4 linked regions of the Astyanax mexicanus genome follow. The protein of the gene in region 4 purifies or fractionates together with the protein of the main gene of each other region. This does not show direct contact. Links are inferred from orthologs where the notes say so. Each region holds a gene or a part of one and is shown on either strand. Other genes may lie near its edges. The genes, in order: pak1, pdgfrb, wipf2b and nck1b.

The links.
Region 1: the proteins of nck1b (region 4) and pak1 purify together in Homo sapiens (affinity purification with western blotting; 8 studies listed by BioGRID and IntAct, with this or other methods). This does not show direct contact. The link is inferred for Astyanax mexicanus from reciprocal best matches to the Homo sapiens genes NCK1 and PAK1.
Region 2: the proteins of nck1b (region 4) and pdgfrb purify together in Homo sapiens (affinity purification with western blotting; 3 studies listed by BioGRID and IntAct, with this or other methods). This does not show direct contact. The link is inferred for Astyanax mexicanus from reciprocal best matches to the Homo sapiens genes NCK1 and PDGFRB.
Region 3: the proteins of nck1b (region 4) and wipf2b purify together in Homo sapiens (co-immunoprecipitation; 3 studies listed by BioGRID and IntAct, with this or other methods). This does not show direct contact. The link is inferred for Astyanax mexicanus from reciprocal best matches to the Homo sapiens genes NCK1 and WIPF2.

The regions. Positions count from the first base shown.
Region 1 is NC_064416.1:5,300,687-5,308,548, forward strand, and holds the start of pak1 (serine/threonine-protein kinase PAK 1), read right to left. Parts: upstream 3,021-7,862; 5' UTR 2,797-3,020; intron 1-2,796. Other genes in the region: aqp11 (aquaporin-11), read left to right, coding at 6,799-7,429. UniProt on the Homo sapiens protein: Protein kinase involved in intracellular signaling pathways downstream of integrins and receptor-type kinases that plays an important role in cytoskeleton dynamics, in cell adhesion, migration, proliferation, apoptosis, mitosis, and in vesicle-mediated transport processes.
Region 2 is NC_064409.1:67,927,256-67,934,378, forward strand, and holds the start of pdgfrb (platelet-derived growth factor receptor beta), read right to left. Parts: upstream 3,008-7,123; 5' UTR 2,941-3,007; intron 1-2,940. UniProt on the Homo sapiens protein: Tyrosine-protein kinase that acts as a cell-surface receptor for homodimeric PDGFB and PDGFD and for heterodimers formed by PDGFA and PDGFB, and plays an essential role in the regulation of embryonic development, cell proliferation, survival, differentiation, chemotaxis and migration.
Region 3 is NC_064410.1:61,184,483-61,192,477, forward strand, and holds the start of wipf2b (WAS/WASL-interacting protein family member 2b), read right to left. Parts: upstream 3,018-7,995; 5' UTR 2,959-3,017; intron 1-2,958. UniProt on the Homo sapiens protein: Plays an active role in the formation of cell surface protrusions downstream of activated PDGFB receptors. Plays an important role in actin-microspike formation through cooperation with WASL.
Region 4 is NC_064413.1:49,212,523-49,219,557, reverse strand, and holds the start of nck1b (cytoplasmic protein NCK1), read right to left. Parts: upstream 3,021-7,035; 5' UTR 2,855-3,020; intron 1-2,854. UniProt on the Homo sapiens protein: Adapter protein which associates with tyrosine-phosphorylated growth factor receptors, such as KDR and PDGFRB, or their cellular substrates. Maintains low levels of EIF2S1 phosphorylation by promoting its dephosphorylation by PP1.

The sequences.
Region 1 (7,862 bases), on a different chromosome or scaffold from region 4:
GCCAGTGTCAATTATTGGGGTGGGAATCACAGGGCATCCCAGGACATAATATAACACATTAAATTGCCCACTATAACAATAACATTATTATAATACTCGATATATCAAGGCAAGACATAGAAAGTCTAGAGCACCTGTGCTTTAATAAATATATTGATATTTGACGCCACGTATCAATAATATATCACAAACTACAGCTAAACAATATTGTGATACTGATATTTTGTCCCACCCCTATTAATTATTATATATATATATTTTTTAAATAGTTTGTATACAAATTTAGATAATGGGGACATATTGTACCTCTTGTGGGCTCAGAACCAAGTCGCTGCGCTTTCCTGCGCTGTGATGCAACTCAGCAATGCTGCATCAGCAGCAGTTCAAAAAGAGGTGGAGTCTGACTTCACATGTATCAGAGGAGGCGTGTGTTAGTCTTCACCCTCCTGGTGTGTTGGGGCATCATTAGTGATAGGGGGAGTCCTAATGAGTGGGTTGGGTAATTGTCTGTGTAAATTGGGGAGAAAGTGGAGGAATGAAAAAATATAATAATAATAATAATAATAATAATAATAATAATATTAAAAACTATATAAATCATACCTCTTTTTACACAGAATAGAAAGAAGAATAGGTATATGGGCTGTACAAAACACATTCATGATGTCCTGATGCACAAAATCACTCTCATATAAAGAGATCTTAAGAATTGTTTCAAATCAGAATGAAATTCTTATAATAATAATAATAATAATAATAATATTCAGAAAGAAGAAGTTCTGGAAACAGTATTTTCCAGATATCTTGAGGCAGAAAGCAATTAATAATAATACTTTCTGTAGATCAGTTTATGATTTCACTGGAAGTCAATGTAAAAAGATTGTATTCCAGTTTTTTCAGGAGCATTTTATTGGTCAATTTTCATAAAGGGCAAAACCGGTGTTTTAGTGGGTGTAGTGCGCTGTGATCAGCAATTTAAGTCAAATGCCTGTTTTCCACTACTGTCACATTTAATATTATTGTAGAAACTTTTTTTCACTGTATTGTGACACCTCTAACACACACACACACACACACACTCTAGTAGATCAGTGAGGGAGTAAAAAGATCAGTTTGGATCATCTCTGCAGAGACCCAGATTCAATTTCATGCATGGTTGAGACTCAGGCGTGTAACTGCAGTGTATCAGATTGTGTTGTATTGTAATGTAATGTATTGTACTGTATCACAATAGAGTGTCACATCATGAGTAGTGTGTAGTATTGTAATTTTGCAACAACAACCTGAAGCATTTCATGCATCATATCAGATACCCATGTTTTTCTGTGATGCTGTAATGAAATTTAAGTGTTTAAAGTCTTGTAGGTTAGTCAGTTCACTGTTTCTTCAAATGCATAATGCAAACAGCTCAGTATCTATTGGTTAGGTCATTTAAAAGTGTGTTCTTCATGAAAACAGCATCAACTATGAAATAAACAGATCATTTCTTCATCACCTCTTCCAGTCTACTAGATGAAAGCATCATGGAGGGGAATTCAAATGTGGATCAAATTGAGCAACTTGTACCAAAGGAAATTCAAATAAAACATTTATTAAAATAAACATTCAGAAATCTTCCAACAATACACTGAAGTTCTTTAACTTTACTTTTACAACTAGCAAAAGACATAAATGAACACATGCTAAATGTACTCACAGATTATCAGAGATTATTTTATTCTAAATGACAGATAATTATCAGCAATAGTCCGGATCTAGAATGAAGTGTTATATTTATATATATATATATATATATATATATATATATATATATATATATATTGTTACGACCTGGTCTAGGTCAGCCCGTAACATAGAATAACGAGGCCCCCATGCCCTCCTGGTTCCCCAACCACACATACTCCTGTTAGTCAAAAGGTTTAGTTTATTTAACAAATTGTAAAGAATACAAGGCTTATTTTGTTTATAATAAAATTAATACATCTTCTAAATAAAATAAAATAAATTATACATATACACATACTATAGTTGTTCACCCATAGTAGTGATACGAGAGACAATAACAGCTCAGCAGCCACATGTCTTGCCTGTCATGGAGCGGGTTTCATCTTTCAGGTAATGAAACATTTCTTTTCAGCAGGACAACGCTTGTCCACACACAGCATATATATATATCATATTAATATCAAATTATTATTAATATACAAATTATTCATTCCCATGGCTTATAATAAGTCAGAGGATTCAATTTTATGCATCTTATTAGGATTTTCCAGTCTCATCATGCCTCAGGCACTCCAGTATATGTGTATGGGCGGAAAGGTGGAATGGAAAATCCCAGTAACTAAGAAGCTGGAGAACATGAGGTCAACTCTAGTACCATACACACACACACACCTACAGCTAAGACCCAGCAGTAGAAGCCTCAGACTCTCCAGTATGTGTATGGACTGCACCTTTTAAGGTGGAATTTTAAGGTGGAATGGAAAAGAACTGGAGAACATGAGGCCAACTCTTGTACCATACACACACACACACACACACACACACACCTACAGCTCAGACCCAGCAGCAGATAGCAGGACCTGCTGTCTGTCTATCTGTCTGTATGTCTACCAGTCTGTCTACCAATGCCTACCACCTAACACCACGCTCCCTCCAGTCTGGGCACTGGTAGACAGATAGATAGACATACAGATGGACAGACAGATAAATAGATAGATACCTAGACAGATAGAGGGGTACCCGGCCTGAGTGCGTACCCACGCGTGCCAATCCCTCCCCAACAAAACTCACCTCTGAAACCGGAGCTGATCCGAATTATAAATCCCAATCCGGTTTTCTTCTTGTTCTCCACCTCCTCTCTCCTTCTCTCTACCTCCTCTCTCCGCGTGCACTGCCCCTCTCATTCACCTTAAACTTGCCGGATCCTCGCTATTGTGTGACATGCACGCGCACACACACACATACACACACACTCTCACACACACAACCCTGCTGCATTGAGCCCCGCCCACCCTGCGCTCTGCTAGTGGTCGCTTCCAAATTCGGTCCGTCAGCGTCAGTGCCATTTTTACGCATCCCACCCGTATTCGAAGTGCCCCGCCTTTCCTGCGCTCTGATTGGTCTGCATGATCAGGAGGCGAGCATTGTAATTGGACGGTTAGGATATTATCGCTGCAGTATACATTTTTAATGTATACATTTCTAATTATACAACTATTCAATGTTTTTATAAAAGTAAACGTTTTATATTGTATTTAATAAAAAAAACAAAGACTGTGCACATTTTACCGGTTGTTAAGTAGACGTAGTTTAACGAAATCCACAGAACTGGTCGTGATGTGACACAAACAGTATATATTTTACGAAAATGAAAATAAAATAGAATTTCTAAATTTCACTGTTTTTTCTCAATCAGAAGGGCCTTAAGTTATCAGTAGTTCAAAAATCTCAAAAATAAAATAAAAAAGAAGTGGACAAATTGGCAAATTGGCAAATAAAAATACAATATTCTATTGAATAGAGTCTTTACTCTTCTAAACTCTTTACTAATCTTTACTTTTCCAGTGAACAATTTTAGTTAGTAAAACGTTTTCTAACAATTTTGATGCCAACGTTTCCCAGAGTCATGTCATCCGCTGGTTTTGGTCCAAAGTCAGTACAGTATTTTCCCGCAAAATCTTACCACTTCATGCTTCCCTCTGCTGACAACTTTTATGGAGATGCAGATTTCATTTTCCAGCAGGACTTGGCACACTGCCCACACTGACAAAGGTACCAATTGGTCTTATATATTATATTTATTTTTTTTGAGACATTGATTTTTGTTTTTAATTGGCTGTGATCCATAATCATCAACAATAAAATAAATAGATCACACTGTGTGTAATACATCTATATAATATATGTGTTTCACATTTTAAACTGAATTACTGAAATAAAATTACTTTTCAATAATACAATTAATTTTTTTGAGAAGCACCTGTATATAATATTGGGACTGCTGCTTGTGAATGTATTGTTTTGTTCAGTAAAACAAAATTTCAGTGAAATAGACAAGCTGGAGTTTAGCGTTTATTTTCTATCCTGATTTAAGGGACAAAAGGCAAAAAAAATGCTCAAATAAAAACCTCTAACTAAAAACTACAAAATGTACTACATTCATTGCATATATATCAACCAATCCCATCAGTTCTACCCTCCTCACCGTCCACCCGGCGGAGAGAGTATGACCTAACTACTAGCCAATAGCAGCAGAGGGGGCGGGGTTTGTCGGAATAGAGGTGGGAGGTGGACGCCTGTCTGTCCCCTTAGGCCGGTGTGGGCGGGGCTTTCATGGAATATGGGCACAGCGAGGGCGGGGCCTCTTTAAATATTCATGAACCCTATTCTAATACTACTGCCAGGCAGAGCTGACCAACGGTGACGTGTTCTACTCAATTTCCTGTAAGAAGTGCTGATAAGCACCGTCCAGGAATAATAAATTTTATTAAAATCTATGGGTTTATTTGTTTTTTTTTTGTGTCAATATTTTTTGCAAGATATTATTTTAAACTGTTTTATATATGTTATTTAATCGTCACTGAACATTAGAGTTCTATGGCATGAACAAAATATTAAAACATATTTTTAAAATGCTAATTGTAGTCAAAACTCTCAGTAGAAAAAAATCTCAGGGTTACAATTACCGTTTTAAAATGTTTTGGTAACGTTGCTGCAATGGCACTTTTGCTGCCATTTGCTGCAATGTAATTTTTAGTTTTGAAATTGTTACTTTTAAAGTTTCCATAATGTTAATATTCGTCTAGCCGGAATATTACGTGAGAAACGTTCTAATAACGTTGTGTTACAAACATTTATTATGTCACACTTTTTTAAAACGTTCTTGAAACATTATTTATGTTCTCTCAGTAGAACAATTTCTAAGGGTTACAATTCACGTTTTTAAACGTTCTGGTAACGTCGCTGCAACGTCAATTGTATCAGTGTTTTAATTTTTAGCTTTGGAATTGTTTTAACGTTTAACGTTTCCATAACGTTAGTATTCGTCTGGCTGGGAACGTTACGTGAGAAAGGTTCTAATAACAAACATTTATTATGTCACTCTTTTCAGAACGTTCCTGGAACATTATTTATATAAAATTACAGGCTAACCTGTATAAGAATGTTTAGCAGCATTTTGAAGATGTTCCGGGAAGGAACATCTTCAAAATGCTGCTAAACATTCTTATAACGTTCTCTGTTGGTCAAAGCACTTTAACCAATTATATATATATATTTTTTTAATATATATTACATATGTAGTATCACATATTACACTAGGAAATTAAAAAGTGATTTTTGGTCAGCTTACTAGACATTTACCTTGCTATAATCATCTAAACGTTATAAATAATGCAAGTCCAAACGTTATCGTGTAGATACTGGTCTGTGATTTATTGTTGATCGTAAATGTAAGGCTGCGATGCTGACATTATTGATTTCCCTTGAGAATTACTGCAAGCTGAATGAGCTGGACACAGACTGCCATTTCTGCCTGTTAATGGAAATAACGCTGTTAGACTGTTACACAGTGTTCTGGCATCACCTTCAGGCCAGCTGCAGTATTGATATTGTCTTGTTGGAGAAAAAGACACTGCAAGACAAGGATGTCACCTTTCCTTGATATCCTTGAATGATTTTATGATATTAGGGAAGAGACGTATTTGAATATTTCAATCATTTTCTCACCATTTCTAAAATTATATATAAAGCTGTAGGGAAAAAATAGGGACCACTTAAAAATATGAGTTTCTTTGATTTTACCAAACTGAAAACCTCTGGAATATAATCAAGAGAAAGATGGTTAATCACAAGCCATCAAATCAAGCTGAACTGCTTGAATCTTTGTACCAGGGGTAAATGCATAAAGTTATCCAAAAGCAGTGTGTAAGACTGGTGGAGGAGAACATGCCAATGCATGAAAACTGTGATTGTAAACCAGGGGTATTACACCAAATATTGATTTCTGAATACTTAAAACTTTATGAATATGAACTTGTTTTCTTTGCATTTTTAAGGTCTGAAAGCTCTGCATTTTTTGTGTTATTTCAGCCATTTCTCATTTTCTGCACACAAATGCTCTAAATAGACCAATTTTATTTGGAATTTGGGAGAAATGTTGTCAAGTAGTTTATAGAATAAACCAACAATGTTCATTTTACTGAAGCATATACCTATAAATAGCAAAATCAGAGAAACTGATTCAGAAACTGAAGTGATCTCTTATTTTATCACAGAGCTATATATGGTTGTCTTGTCTTGTCAGGTCTATTTCTGTCTATATTGTGTTCAACTCTGACTATAAGCTTCTTTTCCCCACACAAATTATACAAGTTAGTTCCGACCTCACAATCTGACAAACGTTGTAAGTCTATGATATTTAATATGTTATATGTATTTTATGTAAACTCCACCAGAAGCATGATAGGAATTAATCTCAAAAAGAATCTAGTTGCAGTCTTGCAAATAGTGCATGGACAGCATTAATAGCATTAGCAGGTGATGCTGCACTGCATTCTGGTTACTGTGGTGATGAAAACTAGTGGTGATGATGTCCAATCATCGGACAGTATTTAAGTGTGGATAGAGACTGACAAATCCCAAAACAGGGGGGGGCGTGGTTTATCGGGATACGGGCGCAAAATAATAGGCTAAAGCCGTTAGCCTGTGTTTAGCCGGTTCTCCGGAGGAGAGATGGAGGATTAACGGGAATCAGGCGTGAATCAGGCCACGCACGCCCCACCGGACCTCCCCATGGCGGACCTCGCGGTTTCTCTGCTCGTGCTCGCGGGAATCGTCCTCGCGTGCGAGCTGGCGAGGCGCGCGAGCGCGAGGCTACTGTTCGGGGCCGGGGCAGGTACCGGCGCGTACGCGGCCGAGCTCATCTCCACGCTGCAGCTGTGCGCGTGCACGCACGAGCTCAAGTTGCTGGGAGACGCGGGGGTCTCGCAGCCCCCGCCCGTGGCGCTCGCGCTCACATACGCCACGGCAGTGGTGCAGGCGTTCACAGCGCGCGGCGCTACGTGCAACCCGTCCGGCGCGCTCGAGCGCTTCCTCCGGCGCCGGGACGGTGACTCGGACTCTAACGGTAAAGGATGGCGAACTCTGGTTGCGCGCGTGGCCTGCCAGTTCGTGGCCGCAGTGGCGGCTCGGGACGCCGTGCGCCGCCTGTGGGCTCGCGGGCTCTCGGAGCTGCACGCGCGGCACTCGGCATCAGCGTTCAAGTGCGCGAGCCCCGTGGGGAGCGCGCCCCTGCTCGCGGCCGCGGGCGTAGAGATGGCATGCGCCTTTGCTGTGCACGCCACCGCTTCGTGCACGCGCGGCTGGCGGGAGACGTTCAGGGTGCACGCGGTGGCGGCCGTGATCACAGCGGCTGCCTATGCAGGTTGGTCAGTCTCTCTCTTTTGGCTGTGTTCCAAATCGCACATTTAGCACCCTAAGTAGTGCCTTCCTTTAGTTCCCTGTGTCCCAAATCACACCGAGTTCAGAAAGACTGATGTGAAGCCATTGAGTAAGGCTATTTAAAAAAAATATATGGATTCCTATTGTTAAATAAGTTTATACACAATCCAGGTAACAATCCATCTCCTCACCCACATTTAATAAAATAGCTATGTGTCCACTGCCACACACTTTGGGCACGCATTTCCACACAGATCCACTTAAACACAACAGTGAGTGGAAATGGAGGAGCTACTGAACACAATGTCATGTGACCAAGAAAGCCAAAAAACTCACTGGTCCTCCTGTTTTTTCAATTGCAGTCCGGATGCAAGAATTTTATCACTGAGTAGAAGTGTGAAACTAATCTGGATAGG
Region 2 (7,123 bases), on a different chromosome or scaffold from region 4:
CCCCGATGAAGCCAGACGGCACCCCAGGGTGCCGCGGCACCCTGGTTGAGAAACACTGAACTAGAGAATTAAGCTTTGGATTAATGCAGGAATCTTTAGGAGTAAAAGTTATCTTTTAGTTATCTTTAAAGAAAGCCTCTCAAGATCCCAAATAAATTTGTAATACATATGGATATGTATTATAAAAAATAAAATATGGATAACTGTGTAATTTTACGTCTTTATGTATTAAAACAAGCTCTTGTTGATATTAAAAAAAGAAGAAAAGAATTTGAAAAATATTTGAAAGATGTTGGCAATATACCTGTTTTATTTTAAATGTTTCGAATCTTGTAAAAAAAAACGATTATGTTAATGTAATATGTTTGTTTTACTTTTAATTTTATTATTGTATGAAACAAAAGATGTGTTGAAGAAACATGACTGAAAAACTTTGTATGTGCTGTTTTTTGTGAAATGCTTTTGAAAAACTTCAATAAAATTTATATAAAATAAATAAAAGTTATAAATGTTGTTTTGATTCCAAAAGACATAAGAATAAACTGAGAAATATCTTACTGTTTCTTTCAAATTGTCCATATCTTGCCAAAAAACATGGTTTGCTTGATTAAAATTTGAATTATAATTTGATTATTTGATTAAACATTTTTGCCATTTTACACATTTACTCCTTTATAATAGCCGGGTCCCAACGCCATAAAAACTTCATAAAAACTGTCCCAATATGAACGGATGCAACTGATGTATCTGTCATGGAGCTTACTCAGAATTCTCTCTAAATGTACAATGTGAAAAATAATAACATCACATAAAAATGCTTAAAATTTATTTAAAATGTTTTCAAAAACTGTTTTTACCATTCTAATTTATTTTAATAAATAAAAAAGTACATATGTTTCTTGACGCAGTGCCACCGTGTGACGTCTGAGCATAACGTCAACGCAAAGCTTAATTAGACTGTTCTTTATGTGTGATGGATAGGCTGTTAAGAAGTAGCCTAAGAACACAGAATACAGATACACTGTATTGTGTAAAAATGTACTTAAGTTAAGATTTAAATCCAGAAATACTACATGGACATTGACTCCCCACACACATATAAATGGATATACATGTTTACATGCTTATGTACAAGCGCATATAGATACAAATATACATATACTGTACATAATTATACCTGATTACTTTATCTTACCTATCAAACAGTTTAGCCACACCCATTCACACTGAAAACGTTAAAACAAAAGTTTTTGGACTTTAGCTTTTAGCAAAAACAGCCAGTTTGTTTCTAAACAAACAATGATAGGATGAAAAAATAACCATATACAAATGAATTAGAATTTTCTTTGACACACATGGACATTGCTTTATTTCTATATTTTAAATATCCATATCTTTATTTTTTTTTTACTTTTTGACTATTTTAATTGGTCAGTTCTTTATTGTATCAAACTTACATGATAATTGGTCCAATAAAAAATTCTCAAATCCATACACACATGCAAAAAGTCATGGGACAGCAGTATGTAAATTAATCATGAAGTGTTATCTCTGTGAACGTTTTGGGAATGCCCAAACTCAGGCTGAACTCTAGAGGGATGGGACATTCCATTTCCTTTATCCACATTGTCATGTGTACAGGGTATACAGTACCAGTGAAAAGTTTAGAGACTCTGTCACATTCAATGTTTTTTCTTTATTTCTTTATTTAATTTATTTTCTACTTTGTAGATTAATATTAAAGACATGAGAATTAGTAATGAAGTTAAGGGACACATGTAGAATTACATAGTATACAGTTTAAAAAAAAAGTGTTTGATCTAATCCCAACTGACATGGTGATTTGCTTTGAGCTGGAGCTTCACAGCGTGAAGGAAAAGCAGCAACTATTGTGCAGCACCTTCAGGAACTCCTTCAATTTCATTGGCTCTGTACTTGCACACTGCACAATGACAATAAAGTTGAATCTAATCTAAGTTGAATCTAAAAAGACACCAAAATACTGAGAGTGTGCAGATCTGTCCTCAAAGATAATTCAATATAGCGCTTTTTACAACAAAGGTTGTCACAAAGCCGCTTTACAGAGAAAAACAGGTCCACGCCTCTTATGAGCAGCACCACAGAGATGCTATTTTTTATGGTGACCTGTGGCAAGGAAAAACTCCTTTTAAGAGGAAGAAATCTTGGAAGGAACCAAGACGCAGTCAGAGGAACCCATCCTACTCGGGTTGACCCGCTCAGTACAAACAGATAACAAACAAATAACAGAACATAAATGTGCTACATAAAATAATTTTAAGTATAAAACATATTCTGGTTTGTTTAAAACTTTTTTTTCTTTCTACAAAAATAATTTTACATTGTTTTTGTATAACTTTAATATAGTCTTCAATATTATATTTACAATGTGAAAAAAAATCATAAAAAGAAAGAAAACACATTGAAGAAAAAGAGGTGTATACAAACATTTGATTGGTACTGCTCATCATTAAAGGCTTTGACAGTGCAGCGCTCTTTAGCTTTCATGGGACATGGCAAAAGTCAAGGGACACAATACTGAAAGTTTCGTTGAAACTATTATATACAGTCTGGAACTTCAGTCCTTAAGAACATTCCCCAAAACATCTCTGTGTTTGTCTGGAGATCTTTTGTAAGTTGTTTTTGTTTCAAAAGCTTTCATGTGAGCTCTTGTTTATTTTACTCAGATGTCTACTAAGGGGTCCAGTTACTGATAGCAGCCCCAGCTCAGACCAACTCACCCCAACTCACCCCAACCTGAGCTGTAACACTGCCCACCACTTCAACATCTAACGACCAAGAACAACAAAGAGGAGGAGGGCAGACCAGGACAGAGCGAGACACCGGGGGAACAGAGGGAAAGAGAGAGAAAAACAGACAGAGCAGAAAAACAGAGGAGGGTGAAGATCTAAAGATCTGTACCAGAGTCTTCCTCGCTCTACTCAGATCATCTGCTGTGATGAGTCCTTCAGTGAGGAGGGTCTGTTACGGTGGAAATCCAGAAAACAAGTAAAGTAAAGATGGCAGACAGTCTCACACACACACACACACACACACAGGTCTCCTCAGCAACAGCCCTGGTTTTGTGTTTCTTTCACTGAAATCACGAGTGGCAGGGAAACAGAGCAAATCCTCCCTGGAAACTGGCAGCTCCTAAAGTGAGCAGAGAAAGAAAGCAAGGAACAGAGAGAAAAAGAGAGAGAGAAAGAGAGAGAGAGAAAAGTAAAAAGCAAAAGCTGAAAGGACTCTCAGGGCAGAAGATGGGGGGATAGGGGGCTCTGGAGGAGAGAAGGTGTATCAGCTGTGGTGCTCAGTGAGAAGGGGGCTACAGGAGTGTGAGCATACACTCCTACACACACACACACACACGTGTACACACACACGCACACACAGAACCATGGTCTGTTTTCACTCTTGGCTGTTTTCCTGCCTGCATGGTCTGTCATTCACTTTTCTATTTCTTCTTGTCTCTCGCTTAATCTCTTTCTCTTTCTTTCCTTTCTGACACTCTTTCACTCCCTCTCATTTCTTACTCTTGCTTACCTTCGCTCTCTTTCTCTTTCTTTCCTCTCTAAAACTATTTCTCTTTACAGTTCTCATCCTCAGTTTACCACACCTTGATCTCTTTCTTTGTTTCCCTTCTTTCTTTCTTTCTCTCTCATTCTCTTTTTTAACCTCTCTCTATTTTTGTCTTTTCTTCTATCTCACAAATCTGTCTCCTTATCTTTCTTTTCGCTCTGCTATTTCTCTCTGACCCTCTCATCTCTCTCTCTATTTCTATTTTTTCTTCTTTCCTTTTGTTTCGTTTCTTGCCATCATTCATTTCCATCTCATTTACTGGATGTTTTTCTCTATTTTTTTTTTCTCTTTCTTACTGTATATTTACTCTTTGACACTATTTATTCTTTTTTTCTTTCTTTCTTTCTGTCTCCTCTCTCTAGATCTTTACTGACTCATTTACTTTCTACCTCCTCTCTCTTTCCAACTTTTTTTTCTTTCTGTCATATTATTACTCATTCCTTTCAGTTCTCTCTAATCTCTTTTCTCACTTGATTCTACTCTTTATTTCCTCTCAGCCTTTGTTTTTCATTCTTTCTCTTTCGTTACCTCTTTTCTCGCTCACTTGATCTCATTCTTATTCTCACCTTTTCTTCTTTTTTGCACTCTTTCGCCTCTTTTCACAATATCTCTCTCTCTTTCTCGCTCTCTCTTTTCCTGTCTCTCTCTCTCTCTTTCAAGGAAGTCAGCAGAGTGGGCTGGAAATTCATAAGAGCTTCCAGCAGCTGAGTAAGGACTTTTCTCTTTATTGGAAAGACAAAAACAGAGTGTGCGAGTGAGCGAGTGAGAGAGAGAGAGAGAGTAAGAGAGAGAGAGAGAGAAAAGCTGGCACACTCACTCCTCTAATTGTGTGAGTGAATGCGAGGGCCCGTGAAGAACAGACAGTAATTATAAAAGACTGTGGTACCCAGCAGAACAGAGCCGTCACATCTCATAAACACACTCCCTGAATCTCAACACTGATGTAGCTCTTTGATTTTAACCCTTTAATCACTGCTACACTTCACTCTTCTGTTTACTGCAATCTGAGGACTGAACCGCAGTGTGCAGAAACACACCGTGCTGTACTCGAGCCAACAGCTGATTAAAGAGCTCTGAAAACATCCAGCGTGAAGTCGGCTCAACACAGGGCTAGTTCTCAGGCAGAGTTTTCATTACTAGGGGTAACTACACACTTAGCCCTTATAGCCTGGCCTGCCCTCCAAGCACAATGTCTCTTAGCACACACACACACACACACACACACACACTGTGCCCTGAACCCATTTATTAAAATAGTCACTCTTTTGGCAGAATCTTAAGCACTTTTTACCTGGTTAGACACAACTTGCAAACATATTTTCACCCACTAAAACACATTTTGCACTGTGATGCACTTGGGCACAACATAATGGTAAGCAAAAGTGAAACTCAGTGAAAGCACAGGTGTCTCAACTTAAACATAGCAACTCAAAATTGATCACACTTGTGTCTAAGGATAGAAGGCATCATTATAATCCAGGACAAGAAGCTCTGGTCACTGATGTTTCACTATGGACAGAAACCATCAGAAAGGCAGGGTAAGAGATGAAGAGGAGGTAGAACAATTATTTCAGATAAAATTTGGGCAACTGTCAGCATGTTCTAGTCCACGGTTTGACAATGAGGGAAACGGGACTTTGACTTCAGCCCAATATAAGCAGATTCACAGTGTCCATCATAATCCGAAGATTTAGACAGGAGAACAGGTAAATGTTTGCATTATGATTCAATACAAATGTGATTTATTACATTAATTTCCCAATAAACTTGTAGGACTAGTAGTGCATGTACGTTTTTTGTAACTGCATGTTTTTTTTTGTACTAGAAGTGCTAAACAGGAGTTTCACTTTGCTACCTGTGCTCACAATTATGCAGCCCAAGGGCATCACAGTGCAAAATGTGTTTTAGTGAGTGAAAATATGTTTGCAAGTTGTGTCTAACTACATGAAAAGTGCTCAAGGTTCTGCCAAAAGAGTGAACATTTAAATAAATGGGTTCAGGGCAAAGAGCATTTGCTTTAGACAACAGGGTTTAGTGTTTTAGCAATTGAAAAAAAACTGTAACTATATGTGGCCATATTTTAAACACTGGGAACTTGAAAAATCCTTTATTAACAGGCTATTGTGGTAGGTGTAAAGCTGGTTACGATAAATCTAAACTTTTACCAGAAAATGTAATTTTAGCTTTTTAGCGGGTACTCTCACTTCCCAGTTCAACATTAAAACCAAAATGTTAAAAACAAAACTTCACAGCATTCTGAGAACTGAAAACCACATTGCACCTGTGAATACTCTTTGCCCAGGGGAATGCCAGATCTGTTTTCAACGTGTGTTCTTGTGTATTTTTGCAACCGTGTGTTCTTATCATTTTCCTCTGTTTAAGCTGCTTTCTAATACTCAAGACAATAATGACCAAGAATAGTTCAAGTTCCCGGATGTGTTCTTAATCTTCCACAAAACTGATTTGCCAAACAAAACAAACTGAAATAAAAAGTATTTACTGTATTTACACTAATGATGAAAAGATGTTCAGACAAACAATCAATAGTTATTAAGCCCTTGTATTGTAAATACAATAAAATAGCAAGTACACAGCATTTCATTAATGTACACTTATTGCAAAGTTTTACCAACGTTCTGCCCAAGAACACAAGCTAGTTCTTTGTGTTCTTGGCATTGAAAGACACCCCAGGTTCTTATCCATTGCCTGCAGGTCCCTGTCTGGCCACTAGGGGTGGGCGATATGGCCCTAAAATAATATCATTATATTTCATGTTATTTTCACGATATCGATACTCTTGGCAATATGATAAAACACTGAAATATTATTGCATACGATATGATCTGACACAACACTAACTGAAATATTGAAAAAATACAAGAATTTTAATCGATTTGTAACAGAAGTCAATGATCCAGAATGTCACAATACTAATAATGCTCTCCAAATATCTTAATACACTGCTCAAAAAAATAAAGGGAACACTCAAATAACACAATATAACTCCAAGTAAAGTCAATTTCACCTGCTGTTGTGCAAATGGAATAGACAACAGGTGGAAATTATTGGCAATTAGCAAGACACATTCAATAAAGGAGTGGTTCTGCAGGTGGGGACCACAGACCACTTCTCAGAACCTATGCTGTCTGGCTGATGTTTTGGTCAGTTTTGAATGTTGGTGGTGCTTTCACACTCGTGGTAGCATGAGACGGACTCTACAACCCACACAAGTGGCTCAGGTAGTGCAGCTCATCCAGGATGGCACATCAATGCGAGCTGTGGCAAGAAGGTTTGCTGTGTCTGTCAGCGTAGTGTCCAGAGACTGGAGGCGCTACCAGGGGACAGGCCAGTACACCAGGAGACGTGGAGGAGGCCGTAGGAGGGCAACAACCCAGCAGCAGGACCGCTACCTCCGCCTTTGTGCAAGAAGGAACAGGAGGAGCACTGCCAGAGCCCTGCAAAATGACCTCCAGCAGGCCACAAATGTGCATGTGTCTGCACAAACGGTTAGAAACCGACTCCATGA
Region 3 (7,995 bases), on a different chromosome or scaffold from region 4:
ACAAACCAAGTCTCCCTGAAGCTGCGGGAGTCTCCCGCATTTCGGTAGTGGCTCCCTGATGCCCGCGAGTCACATATAATCTCCCGGAATTCAGAACGAGAGCCCCAAACGCGCACACAGGCGACATACTTTTTCTCTCTAATCGCGTGTGGGAATGAGAGAGAGAAAACAGAGAGGGTTCTGATTGGCCTGTTCTCTGCAAAGAGTCTGTGAGACAGCCAATCAGTTTTTAGTGTGGGCAGGCAGTGTTTTTCCCCCCTCCCGGATGGGATTTGTTCAGTGAGTGAGAGAAAGCAGATCATGGTGGAGGCAATATTAATAATTATTGTAATATGATATGAAATGTTTTTGAAATTGTGCAATTTTTGGTGATATTGTAACTGTCAATTTTTAAATTTTTTTAAAGGCTTTTTTTTCCAAAAAAAAAAAAAAGGAAAGCAGAGGCAGGGCCTTCCAAAAAGAAAAAATATAAAACTCATTTCACCTCTGAATACTCTAAATTTAATTAAAAAAAAAAGTAAAATAAATTAATATAAAAGTAAATTTACGTCAATTTTAGTCAACTTATTGTTACTTACTGTAATTTAAAGTTGGGAGGGCCAGAAGAACTAGCTGAAGGTACTGTGTGTATGAACACAAAGTTCCCAGTGCCTCATTTAAATATCTGGAGCTTGGGATGCACTAGGCGGTTCCCTGTTGCAGCTGCATATATGCTGATTGTAAATGAATATATTTCAGTAGAATGTAAATATATTAAAGAAGCTTAGTTGGGCTGGAGTTTGTCTGCAGTTCTCTTGAGTCTCGTAGGGTGTGAAGAGTGTGATGGACATTTTTTTCCTTATTATTAACTAAAACGCTCTCCCATTATTTTAAGATAGTAAATCATTGTTTTGAGATAGTAAGTCGTCTTCAGATAGTAAGCCATTATTTTGAGATTCTCTCTCATTATTTGAGATACTTTCTCATTATTTGAGATACTATCTCACTATTTAAAATACTATCACATTATTTTGAAATACTCTCATTATTTTATAATAAAATAGCATTTTGAGATACTGTCTCATTATTTTTAGATACTAAGCCGTTATCTTGAGATATCTCAGAAATAATGAGATATCAGTTTAATTTAGGTTGCAGGAATGGGCTTCCATATAAAACAGCATTAACTATTATTAAAGATATTAAAGATTGGGCCCATTTTTCGTAACAATAATTGTGTTTTTGTATCAGACTGAGGTTAAATCAGTTAAGATTCAGTGCAGCATCTCAGGTGTAAACAGCAGGCCTGTGACTGTGTGACCAGCCTAGGCTAACAAGTGCTAACTAGCTAAAATCTGTTTAAATCTGTCTTATAAAGTGAGAAATTGGCAAATAACAGAGAAGAAGTGTCAGAAGATGCGTAAATGTGTGTAAAAGTGTTGTGCCAAGTCCTGTTTGTGGCTAAAATAGCAAACATTCATGCGAAGAATTGTCCAATCCACCTTAAAGGCCGCAGAGAAAATGCACCATTTAAGGTGGACCAGGCGCAATATTTAGCTTATTCAGCTAACCCAAGGTAGCATTGAACGACTCAATAAAAACAATACAGCCAGCTAAGCTAACTAGCTAGCGCTAGCTGGCTAAGGTAAGGTTAGCTAAAATCAGGCTAAATTAGTTAAGAAATTGGCAAATAACAGAGACGGAAATTTCGGTGGACGTGTAACTTATATGCGTTTAAAATGTTGTTTCTTTTTTGTTGCTAAAACTGCAAAAATACCTGCAGTTTGCTTATTATGAAAATTGACCATTCCACCTTAAATGCAGCAGAAGCTAAGCTATGTTAACACTCAGGCCCGTGGTGTTTAAAACCCCGTTTTTGTATGATTTCACGGTTTCTTTGCACACAGTTCTGCATATTTGCACCAAAAACACAGTTAAACCCTTTTAAAACGTCTCAATAAAACCAATAAGGCTAGCTAAGCTAGCTAACTAGCTAGTGCTACCTAGCTTAAATCGGTTTAAATTCTGTCTTATAAGTTGAAAAATGACAAATAACAGAGAAGCAATGTCAACAGACGTGTAAATAAGTGTAAAAGTGTAGTCAAGTCTTGTTTGTGGCTAAAACAGCAAAACTATCTGCAGTTTGCTTCTAATAAGAATTTTCCGTTCCACCTTAAATGCAGCAAAAGCATTATGTTAGCCTATTCAGCTAAGCTTAAGTAGCATTCAGGCCTGTGATGTTTAAAATCCGTATGCATGTATAATTTTACTTTTTCTTTGCACATATTTCTGCATATTTGCACCAAAAACACCATTAAACCCGTTTAAAACTGCTAAATACAACCAATGAAAGTAGCTAGTTAAGCAAAGCTAAGCTAGCTAACTAGCTAATGTTAGCTGGCTAAAGTCAGTTAAATTTGGGTTAATTTATGTCTTATAAGATAAGAAACTGGCAAATAACAGATAAGCAGTGTCGAAAGACGTGTAAGTAAGTGTAAAAGTGTTGTATCAGGTCTTGTTTGTCGCTAAAACAGCAAAACTACCCGCAGTTTGCTTATTAGAATCGACCATTCCACCTTAAATGCAGCAGAAGCAGCACCATTTAAGGTGGAACGGGCGCAACATCCAAGCCTATTCACCCAAGTTACGGTAGCTAGCCAACATTCAGGCCTGGGGTGTTTAAAATCTCCATTTCTCTTTTATTTCACGTTTTTCCTGCAGATTAGTACCTCTTTGCACCAAAAACACCAATAAACCCGTTTAAAACGACCCAATAAAGCACAACAAACACGAGACACATATAACGTAAAATCACAGCGCGCGCAGTGCTCGTGCAGGATGCAGAACCGCACACCTGAGCGCGAGAGCAGGTTCTTGCTCAAGCTCAAAGCACCGCTTCGCGTCTAGACTCGAGCCAGCCGCACCCGCAATCCGAATTATAATCGGATTTAAAGAATAATGTAAATAAATGAGCCCTACTTTTCTCTCTGGCATCCGCGCGCGCCGCCACGGGCTCCCTCTATCGCATGATATCACTGCGCTTCAACCGGAAACACTTCCGAGATCAAAGCCCATAGATAGATTTATTTATTTATTTATTTATTTATTTATTTATTTATTTATTTATGTCAGTGTGCATGCACAGTACCAGTCAAAAGTTTGGACACACATTCTCACCTAATATTTTTGATATTTATTTATAGTTTTATTTTTTTTTTCTACATACAAAAAAGATGACCATTGAGTCAAAGTTCAGAATTTAAAATATTAAAGTATACTGGAAAAATAGTTCCAGCATTACACATATATAAAAAGAACATAAATTAATAGATACATTAGAAAAGAGTAAAAGTACAGTACATCAACGAGTCAATACATAGTGCAATTATATCTTGATAGGTCAACACATTGACAAACCAGAGAAAAAGAGAGAGAGAGAGAGAGAAAGAAAGCCAGACGAAAGCCAGAGCACCCTTGGGCGTCTCCTCCCCTCACCCAACACAGACTTCACCCAAGCAGTTATACATTTATGCAAATGACTTGTAAGTAAATCAATAGGATTTAATGCAATTTAATGGATTCTATCAATATGACATATATCAGCAGAGTCCAGTTAACAGTTTGTTGTCCAGTTCCAATGATATGATCAGCTCCAGCCTGTCTAGGCAACAAGTTCTTACCATGGTGTTTTTCAGCTCTGTGTCCATCATGAACACAGCAAACAGTCCTTGTGTTTTGCACAAGAATCAAACAGTCCTTAAGTGTCCTAAAGTCTGTGAGAAGATGAAACAGAAATCTGCCACAAAAACTATACATCTTTGTCACATATAACTAGGCCTGTCACGATAACCCTTTTTCAGCAAACGATATGTTGTCCCAGAAATTATTGCAGAAACAATATTGTTGGAATTTTAAGACTGGCACTAACATAATCATACCTTAATATCATGAAGGAATTACACCCTTTTAAAGACAATAAACTTTCCATTGCATGTTATATAGGGAACCATGAGTCTGCCCCACACCATGATGTGCACCCCCGGTCTGTCCCAGCTGGCCCATGTTGGACCAGCCTAAAGACCCTGCCTTAAGGCCCTGTCCCACTGCGATTGCGTCTAAATATCCACTAAAGTACGTACAAATTTATCAGAAAACACTGCGTCCACTGAGTGAACGCGCTGCGTCCAAAATATATACGCACTGCGTCCAAATGGTGAAATTACATCCATATTCCGTCTAAATTGAAGTTGGACGCCGACTTCCAAATTTGTACGTCGACTTCCACTCTTTGGACGTCCACTTCCAACTATATATGGTTGTTTTTTCTAGTGAATCATCATTTCTTCTTGAGCTACAAGAGAGAGCACATCTATTCTCTTCTACACAACCATGGACCACAGATTCCTTGCAGTGATGGTGCAGCAGCAGAACATACTCCTCCATGTGCTGGACCAGACTGGGAGGAGGAAGAGGCGGCAGCAGGAGAGGACTGTATGGGCCAGCCCTTGGATTGTACGCCGGGTGGAGTTTGGACTGTATGACCGGCTGATGGTAAAGCGATGGACGCCAGAAAAATATTTTTATGGACGTCGACGTCCACCTGTACGTGCCGTCCAAATATCCACTAAAATACGTCCGTACTGCGTCTAAATATCCACTAAATTACGTCCATATTAGTCGCCGTCTATTCCGAAAATTTTGGGAGGTACCAAAACCACTTTTGCGTCTAAAGTGGACGGCAACGTCTAAACTACGTCCACTTGGACGGTGCCGTCCAAATATCCACTAACATACGTCCAGATTGCGTCTAAATATCCACTAAATATCCACTAAACTGCGTCCACTGAAATTTGGACATACTTTAGTGGATATTTAGACACAATCGCAGTGGGACAGGGCCTTTAGCCTTCACTCGAGAGATACGCTGATGTGAGAGAAAGGCTGAGGCAACATTAACCCAAGAGGCACTAAAGTTAAGCGTCTAGAGCCGCACTGTGACAATATATGTTGGTGAATTTTGTAAGAGCAAACACAATAGACGAGATCACGATTATTAAAATGATTGAGGTCATGTTCATTTATTGAACGATAAGTCGATAATGTAGTTATTGTGACAGGCATATGACCAAAATGATTGAGTCTTGACTTTCACTTGCTGTGTGTACGTATTGATAATGTTGCTTCATGTGCTTTCGGGAATTGTGTGTGTTGAAATGAAAGGCTGGTGTTTCTCAATCTATGTCCTGAAGGCACCATTTCTTGTTCTTTGAGTAGTTTTTCTTGCTGTAACTTGCTCTCTGCACTTCTGGAAAGATTGGTTAAGTTCATTATATTGGATTGAGAGTGGTTGGAGAAGGCAAAGTAGTAAACAGGACAGGGCAGGGTGCCTTCAAATTAAATGAAAACACGGACGAAAATAAAGTTTTTGACAACCTATTTTTCATGACGGCAACAAGAAAGAACTAAATACTGTGATGGAGAAATTGAAGAATACTGGAGAATTCCTGTATGTAAGAGACAAGGCCGATGGTCAGTACTGGATGCTGGTGATCTTCAAGCCCTCAGGTGGCGCTGTATTAATAACAGACTGTAATGATTCTGTACTGGACATCACTTCAAATATTACCAGTTCTTACCAGCGGTTCTTACCACTGGTTATTGACACCAGTTCTTATCACTGGCTCTCACCACCAGTTCTTACCACTGGTACTTACTACTGGTACTCACCACCAGTTCTTACCACTGGTTCTTACTACTGGTGCTTACCACCAGTTTTTACCACTGGCTCTCACCACCAGTTCTTACCACTGGTTCTTACTACCAGTTCTTACCACCAGTTCTTACCACTGGTTCTTCCCACGTGTTTTTACCACTAGTTTTTTACCCCCAGTTCTTACCACTGTTTTCTACCCCCAGCTCTTACCACTGTTTTCTACCCCCAGTTCTTACCACCAGTTCTTACCTCTAGTTTTTTACAAACAGTTCTTACCACCAGTTCTTACAACCGATTCTTACCACAGGTTCTCACCACTGGTTGCCACAAGTTCTTACCACCAGTTCTCTTACAACCGATTCTCACCACCGGTTCTCTTTCAACCAGTTCTTACCACCAGTTCTGACCACCGGCTTTTACCACCAGTTCTTACCAGCGGTTCTTACCATCTGTTTGTACCACCGGTTCTCACCACCAGTTCTTATCACCAGTTCTTACCACCGGCTCTTGCCACCAGTTCTTATCACCAGTTCTTATCACCAGTTCTTACCACCGGTTCTCACCACCAGTTTTTACCATCAGTTCTCTTACAACCGGCTCATACAACCAGTTCTTACCACTGGCTTTTACCACCACTGGCTCTTACCACCAGTTCTTACTACCAGCTCTTACCACCGTTTTTTTACGACCGTTTTTTACCACCGGTTCTTACCACCGTTTTTTACCACCGGCTCTTACCACCAGTTCTTACCATCGGCTCTTAACACCAGTTCTTACCAGTGATTTCTACCACCGGTTCTTACCACCAGTTCTCTTACAACCTGCTCTTACCCCCAGTTCTTACCACTGGCTCTTACCACCAGTTCAGAGAACCAAGAGGAATGCCCCTCATAGTATTTCTCAATTCAGATTCTACCTCAGTATGTGAGAAAAATGGGGGTGTAAAGTCAACTATCATCAAAATGACATGAGAAGTAAAGCTTTCTCATGCCAGTGTTTCTCAGTCCGTGTCCTGGAGCAACATTCCCTGCATTCACTTGCTGTGTGTACTGTGGCGTGAGGAGGCGGGGGAACCGTGGGTCCGCCCCATGCCGGAACTTAAGCAGCCGGCTGGGACAGGTATAAAACTCAGCCTCAGCTCACTGAAGGGGCTCTTGAATGGGGAGCTGAGGGCTGAGGCTGCACGGACCTTTAACTTAAACTAAAGTTCATTCTACAGACTCTAGAGCCCCATTGGGCTGAGTATGTTTATTTGAGTTTGTTCTGGGTGTGGTGGAGGGCGTTTAGGCAAATAAAAGGTACGTTTTGAGTTCATTTACTCCCCGTGTCTGTGTTCTCTGTGTACTTCCTCCTTCTGGGTCACTGTGGTCACGCCCCTTACCCCAGGGGCCTACCACAGTGGTGGAGAATGCAGGCACAGAGTCAGAGACGGCCGGAGCCACGGGAACAGGGTCAGAGGCGGCCGGAGCCGCGAGAACAAAGTCAGAGGCGCCCGAAGCCACACCTGAGTTTCGTTTTGTTTTTTTCTAAAAAAAAAAAATAAATAAATAAATGCCTCGCGGGAGGAAAAAGGGGAGGCCCGGCCCCGTCTACTCACCGCAGCTCTGGTGTGACGCCGGGGAATTCCCCTTCGCCTCCTTACTCCTCGAGCCCGAGCCCGCCCCCAGCTACGCTCCACCGCTCTGCAGCGGTGACGCTGGGGATTTCCCCTTCTCCTCTCTCCTGCCGGAGTGGCTCCGTCAGCGCTGGGAGGACGCCAGCGAGAGGCGGCTGCAGCAGCAGTGGGCGCCTCGCCCCGAACTCGGCTGGTGCGAGTGGTGTCCGAGCCCCAGACACCGGGAGGCCGAGTGCTCTCACACCGGCCCGGACTTCTGCTGCTGCTGCATCTTCCCGGAGGAGGAGGACGAGTTCTGCGCCTCCCTGCCCGGCCTCAAGTCCGACTCCACCCCGCCTCTCCGGCGAAACTCTTCGGCGGCCGAGTCCGAGTCGTGGAGGGGGGAGAACGGCCCCGAAAAGAGCGAGGCCGACCCAGAGCGGGAGCCGCCACAAGTCCCGGCTACCGAGAGCCGCCGCTCCACAAGCCCCGGCGCTACCGAGAGCCGCCGCTCCACAAGCCCCGGCGCTACCGAGAGCCGCCGCTCCACAAGCCCCGGCGCTACCGAGAGCCGCCGCTCCACAAGCCCCGGCGCTACCGAGAGCCGCCGCTCCACAAGCCCCGGCGCTAACGAGAGCCGCCGCTCCACAAGCCCCGGCGCTTCCGAGAGCCGCCGCTCCACCTGTCCCGGTGCCCCGAGCAGCCGCTC
Region 4 (7,035 bases):
AGATTTTTTTTTTAATGTGTATAGGTTAGCTTTACTTTGTAAATGACATTTGGCATGATAAATACAGCACAACTCAACAACCCATTTTTATTTTGTGCCTCACTAAATATTTTTGTAATGAAATATACTGTATCACACATGATGTACAGTTGTGGTCAAAAGTTTACATACACTTGTAAAAAAACATAATGTTATGGCTGTCTTGAGTTTTCAATAAGTTCTACAACTCTTATTTTTCTGTGATAGAGTGATCGGAACACATACATGTTTGTCACAAAAAAACAGTCATAAAATTTGGTTCTTTCATAAATTTATTATGGGTCTGCTGAAAATGTCACCAAATCTGCTGGGTCAAAAATATACATACAGCAACATTAGTATTTGGTTACATGTCCCTTGGCCATTTTCACGGCAACTAGGCGCTTTTGGTAGCCATCCACAAGCTCCTGGCAAGCTTCAGGTCGAATGTTTGACCACTCTTCTTGACAGAATTGGTGCAGTTCAGCTAAATGTGATGGTTTTCTTGCATGAACCCGTTTCTTTAGCACTGTCCACATGTTCTCAATGGGGTTTAAGTCAGGACTTTGGGAAGGCCATTCTAAAACCTTAATTCTAGCCTGGTTTAGCCATTCCTTTACCACTTTTGATGTGTGTTTTGGGTCATTGTCTTGTTGGAACACCCAACTGCGCCCAAGACCCAACCTTGATGGCTGATGGTTTTAAGTTTTCCTGCAGAATTTGGAGGTAATCCTCCTTCTTCATTATCCCATTTACTTTCTGCAAAGAACCAGTTCCACTGGCAGCAAAACATCCCCAGAGCATAATACTACCACCACCATGCTTGACAGTAGGCATGGTGTTCCTGGGATTAAAGGCCTCACCTTTTCTCCTCCAAACATATTGCTGGGTGTTGTGGCCAAACAGCTCAATTTTTGTTTCGTCTGACCAGAGAACTTTCCTCCAGAAGGTTTTATCTTTGTCCATGTGATCAGCAGCAAACTTCAGCCGAGTCTTAAGGTGCCTTTTCTGGAGCAAGGGCTTCTTTCTTGCACGGCAGCCTCTCAGTCCATGGCGATGTAAAACACGCTTGACTGTGGAGACTGACACCTGTGTTCCATCAGCTTCCAAATCCTTGCAGACCTGCTTCTTGGTGATTCTTGGTTGACTCTTGACCATCCTGACCAATCTCCTCTCGGCAGCATGTGATAGCTTGCGTTTTCTTCCTGATCGTGGCAGTGACACAACTGTTCCATGCACTTTATACTTGCGTATAATTGTCTGCACAGTTGCTCTTGGGACCTGTAGCTGCTTTGAAATGGCTCCAAGTGACTTCCCTGACTTGTTCAAGTCAATAATTCGCTTTTTCATATCCACACTGAGTTCCTTTGACTTTCCCATTGTAGCTTTTGTAGCTGAGTCTAATCACTGGGTCAAATGAGCCCTATTTAAATGGGCTCATGAGAAGTCAACAGCTGTAGTCAATCAGAATCACTTACAAGAAGTGAAGAGGCCATGACATGAAGCTAATCTGATTGACACAACTCGCTACATCACCAAAATTGACAATTTTTGTTGCTGTATGTATATTTTTGACCCAGCAGATTTGGTGACATTTTCAGCAGACCCATAATAAATTTATGAAAGAACCAAATTTTATGACTGTTTTTTGTGACAAACATGTATGTGTTCCGATCACTCTATCACAGAAAAATAAGAGTTGTAGAACTTATTGAAAACTCAAGACAGCCATAACATTATGTTTTTTTACAAGTGTATGTAAACTTTTGACCACAACTGTATAACTAGGTCTAGTCTGTATAATGAGAGGTTAAATGTGTATAACTAGTTCATCTTTAGTTTAATGTGATATTTGGTATTTGACAGGATAAACACAGCACAGGTCAACAACTTATATTTACTTAGATCCTCACTAAGATTTTAGCTAAGCAATATAATGAAACATCCTGTATTACACATGATTCATAGCTGGGTCTAATCTGAATACATCCTGAATAGCTCATATAGAAATATATGGCGTTAACAGCAGAAATGAGAGGTTAAATATATCTATATAGCTTATATATACACTTTAATGTGATGATATGTGGTTGGTATTTGGCAGTAAAAACACAGCACAGGTCAACAACCAATATTTATTTAGTGCCTCACTCATTTTGGTCTAATAATACTGGAATAGTTTAGCTATGAAATTTAAGGATAACATATAGAAATGTCTAAATAAAAGACATGGGAGATATGGGTTAATAGGTAACATTAGCTATAGTTACTGTTAGGGGTGGTCGATATGGCTCTAAAATAATATCACGATATTTCAGGGTATTTTTAAGTTACACTTAAAGCTTCACAGTAAATAATAGACTACTTTTAAGACAGAACAGCCCTATTATCACGACATGGATTTTTAATACCATGATATTTCTGTGTGACGATATATTGTATACGATATAATACTGCCCACCCCTAGTTACAGTAGGTATATAGGAATAGCTTGAGGTCAGTGAACAGTGGCAATGATGGTTAGCATGACAGCTAACCAACACAAAACAGAGCAGCCCGTGATTTAAACGGTGCCAGGCCGGCGTGATTCACCTCTACTCCATCTCTCATACATCTTACCATCTTATTTACAGACCGATAAAGTGTATTTAATTTAGAAAAACACGTTTTAATCCGGTTTAATCCCAGCAAGACCCCGTTTCCCTGTTTTTCTCATACTAAAGCTAGAAACAGCAGCGGGGTCTGCGGTTAGCATCTCAGCTAGCTAACTACTACAGCCATCCAACCAAACCACAGCCTCAAATAAGCTACTAAATAAACCTTTTCCAGGTCTTACCTTCAAACCAGCCTCTCCGAATATATTGCCCACGTTTATTCACACGATTTATGAACCATAAACATCCAGAAAACAATAATAATAGCGCTATATTAAACATTCAGCTAACGCTGCCCTCCTGCTCTACAGCCAACCGTCACTCGCCTTTATGGGACGCTATTCCAGCACATCCAGCGGGACAAAGCCCCGCCCCCCAACCGCTATCTAACTTCCCATTGGAAAGCCACCGATTCAGTCCCGACTCTCATTGGTTCGCGTATGGAAAAGCAGATCCTCTCATTTGAAGATTCCCGCGTCTATCATTAAAGACCACTACACGCTTATTCCCGCCTCTTGCTAACTTTTGTCACTGGGTGGAGTCAGAACGCTCAGACTCGATTCTCATTGGTTGTCAGCGAGAGAGAACGCCCCTTATTGGCTAATTTGTACGTCAATCATAAAGATGCGTGGCCCTGCTGCATGTTTCAGGTTTGTTTCCAATGGAAAGGTTTTTTTTAACCCTCTTTCTATGGCATAATGTTGCCCTCTGGCAACAAACTATTTTTTTTTCAACAAACCTTTATTCATTTATTTACTCAGCTTTAATATTTAATGTTACACAGTTTGCACGTGGCTTACATGTTATATATCTATGTAAATGGAAATATGCATATGTGCAAAATTAAAGCTCTGGAAAAAAACATAAGAGGCCACTTGAAAATTATGAGATTCTTCCATTTTACCACATTGAAAACCTCTGGAACATAATCAAGCCATCAAACCAAGCTGAACTGCTTGAATTTTTGCACCAGGAGTGGCATGAAGTTATCCAAAAGCAGTGTGTAAAACTGGTGGAGGAGAACATGCCAATATGCATGAAAACTGTGATTAAAAAAAGGATCTGAATCTTGAAATTACAATATTTTTATTTGGAATTTGGGAGAACTGTTGTCCGTATTTTACTGAATAAAACAACAATGTTCATTTTACTCAAACATATACTTATAAATAGCTAAATAAAAAAAGCTGATTCAGAAACTGAAGTCGTCTCTTTATTTTTTCCAGAGCTGTATGTAAAGAAGTATATTTGACTGTTTATATTATTACTATAAACATACATACTTGTTGTAAACTTTTTATTTGTTGCTTTGGCAGCTTTTGAGAGTTTATTTCGTACAACTTCTGCAAACTTAAGTAGATTTAAGTATGTGTTTTTTAAACACCTTTTTAATACATTTGAATTATGTTGTAAATATACTACTTTGCGTATTGATGTGCATATTGTGTACACCTTAAAGCTAGTTGGAAAAAAAACTACACTAAAGTGTACTGTAAGCAGTATTTATTCACTACTTTCTATATTTTCTAACAACACAACGTATAATTGGTGAGAGGAGGTCTCCAGGACTAGAAATGAGCACCTCTTCTGCATAATCAATTTCTGTTGAGTAGATGATAGTCTTTTTATGGAGGGTTTTGTTAGAAGCAAATCCAACCATTAATTATTACAGCTTTCCAAACCTTAATGAAGATCAAGAAAATGGGATACTCCAAATTGCCCAGAAAAAACAATTGAAAATTAAAAAAATCTAAATTGATTTGTATATGTACTGTATGTATAGGTATGTGTGGCGCTCTGTCCTGGGTAAATGCTGTAGTGCGCGATGCAGTTCTCCAGTTGGACTTTGGGGTTGTTTCCGGTTGAGAGTATGCTGTGCGCTATTGGCTGCTGCTTCTCATCGGTGTGTGGATGAGTGCAGGGTATGAATGGTTGTGTGTAAAAACTTATTAATTGTTAAGCGTCCTTGGGTTTCAAGAAAGGCACTATATATTTAACTTCATTTATTAGTTTCTTTGTTTATTTAAATATTTATTAATTTATTTTGTTATTTATGTGCCTTATTTATCAGACTTTCCATTTTAATGTCAAAGAGTGACTGAAGATCTCCACATTTAATGTGACAAGAAATCAAATCAGTTTAAATGAGGCTTCTGCAGCAGGCCTGTTTCATGTGGCATGACTATGTGTCATGTTATCATTATAAGGCAATATGCCATATCCTACATGTTTGACCCCAGTTATTACAGCATCTTTCCTGTTTGATAGACCCGGCATGTCATCCCTCCACCACTCTATTCTCTGTCCGCTTGCCATTAAATTAAACAGAAATACGTACTTGTTGATCGTTGCATTTGTTTTGACTGTATCTTCACTCATCCGTGAGCGATATTGTTCATACACACCTCGACCTCTTACAATCGAGGGAGTCGAATGGAGGGGCGCAGAACACACTCCAGGATGCAATCTGTTTCCTGCACAAACAGATGGACCCACTGTACATGTCCTAGAGCCCCCCCCCCCCAACCTCCCCCAAACACACACATGCTCAGCATAGTGCTACGTATGAACACTGTGTATGAACCATATGAACCGTTCATACAGTCTGGAACATGAAGAGTCACTGTAATAAAGCCTGAGCTAATTAGCTGTGAGCTAATCCTAATCAGAAAGACGTGGAGAGAAGATTTAATGAATTTTAGCTCGAGGTTATAAAATTAAAATGCTAATTTTGCTCCATCCGTAAAAGCTTTTGGCACATTATCATTTACATAACCCAACCACATGCACAAATATGAGCCAACATGGTGACAACAACAACTGTGATTTACAGCCTGTTTTTTACAGCCTTGCTATTACGCATTATAGGCCTGTTTGCAAAGCAGCCTATTTAATGGGTGACAACACCAGGGGGTGAATGTTAAGGAAGATGTACACCATGTGGCAAAAAGTATTTGTACGTAATTAATTTGTAAGTATTAATTACAGGTGCACCTCAAAAAAAATTAGAATATCACTGAAAAGTAATTCACTTTAAAATGTGAAAAAAATTATATTAGTGATAAAACTACTTTATGGTGTAATTATTTTATGGTTAAAGATTATGACTTTTATGACAGCCAATGAAAACACACAAATCAGTATCTCAGAAAATTAGAATATTATATAAGACCAATTGGTGCTTTTGGAAGTGTGGGCAGTGTGCCATCTCCTGCTGAAAATTGAAATCCACATCTTCATAAAAATTGTCAGCAGCAGAGGGAAGCATGAAGTACTGTAAGATTTTGAGGGAAATCAAAACTGCACTGACTTGATAATAAAACACAGTGGACCAACACCAGCAGATGACATGTCTCTCCTCTAAACCATCACTGATTGGTGGAAACTTCTCACTAGACTTCAAGCAGTTTGGACTGTGTGTCTCTTTACTCTTCCACCAGACTCTGCTCCCTTGATTTATAAATGAAATGCAAAATTTACTGATGGTCAGTGATGGTTTGGAGAGACATGTCATCTGCTGGTGTTGATCCACTGTGTTTTATTATCAAGTCTAATGAGTATAAGTCAGTGCAGTTTTGTTTTCCTACAAAATCTTACAGCACTTCATGCTTCCCTCTGATTAGCCTGAACCATATTGAGAAGACCTGCACGAAAAAACAGTGGAAATCATTGTTAAATTGTGATTTTTGAAATAATATTTCATATTGCTAATTGATTCAATGATCTGCTGACACACAAAAAATATATATTGTAAGACAATATTATTACATTGGCATGCTAAAAAGATATGAGATAACTGTTTTTACAGTAAATTGACCATGTGTTCAAAGTGTTATCTCATGACTTTGGAATTTCTACATGTCTAATGTTCCATTTCTGAAGTTGTGCAGGGATTTAATGTTCTTCGGTCCACAGTGTCACGTGTGTACTGTAAATACATCATGGAAGGCATTAAAATTAAAAATACTTTTTTTTTTTTAAATCTTACAACACTTCATGCTTCCCTCTGCTGACAACGTTTATGGAGATTATGCAGATTTCATTTTCCAGCAGGATTTCGCACACTGCCCACACTGCCAAAAGTACAGATTGGGGTACCACTTTAAAATAAGACTACCTTCATAAAGGGTTTATAAATGGTTTACTATTAGTTTATTAATGGTTACTAATAAGGTTGTAAATGCTTTAAAAATCATTAATAATCAGTTATAACACATACGTAGAAAAGGCAACAATATAGATAGCTGTGGGTTCACTATTTGGCAAACAACAGGTCATTGTTGCCCTTTCTACGTATGTGTTATAACTGATTATTAATGATTTTTAAGGCATTTACAAGCTAATTAGTAACCATTATTGACCA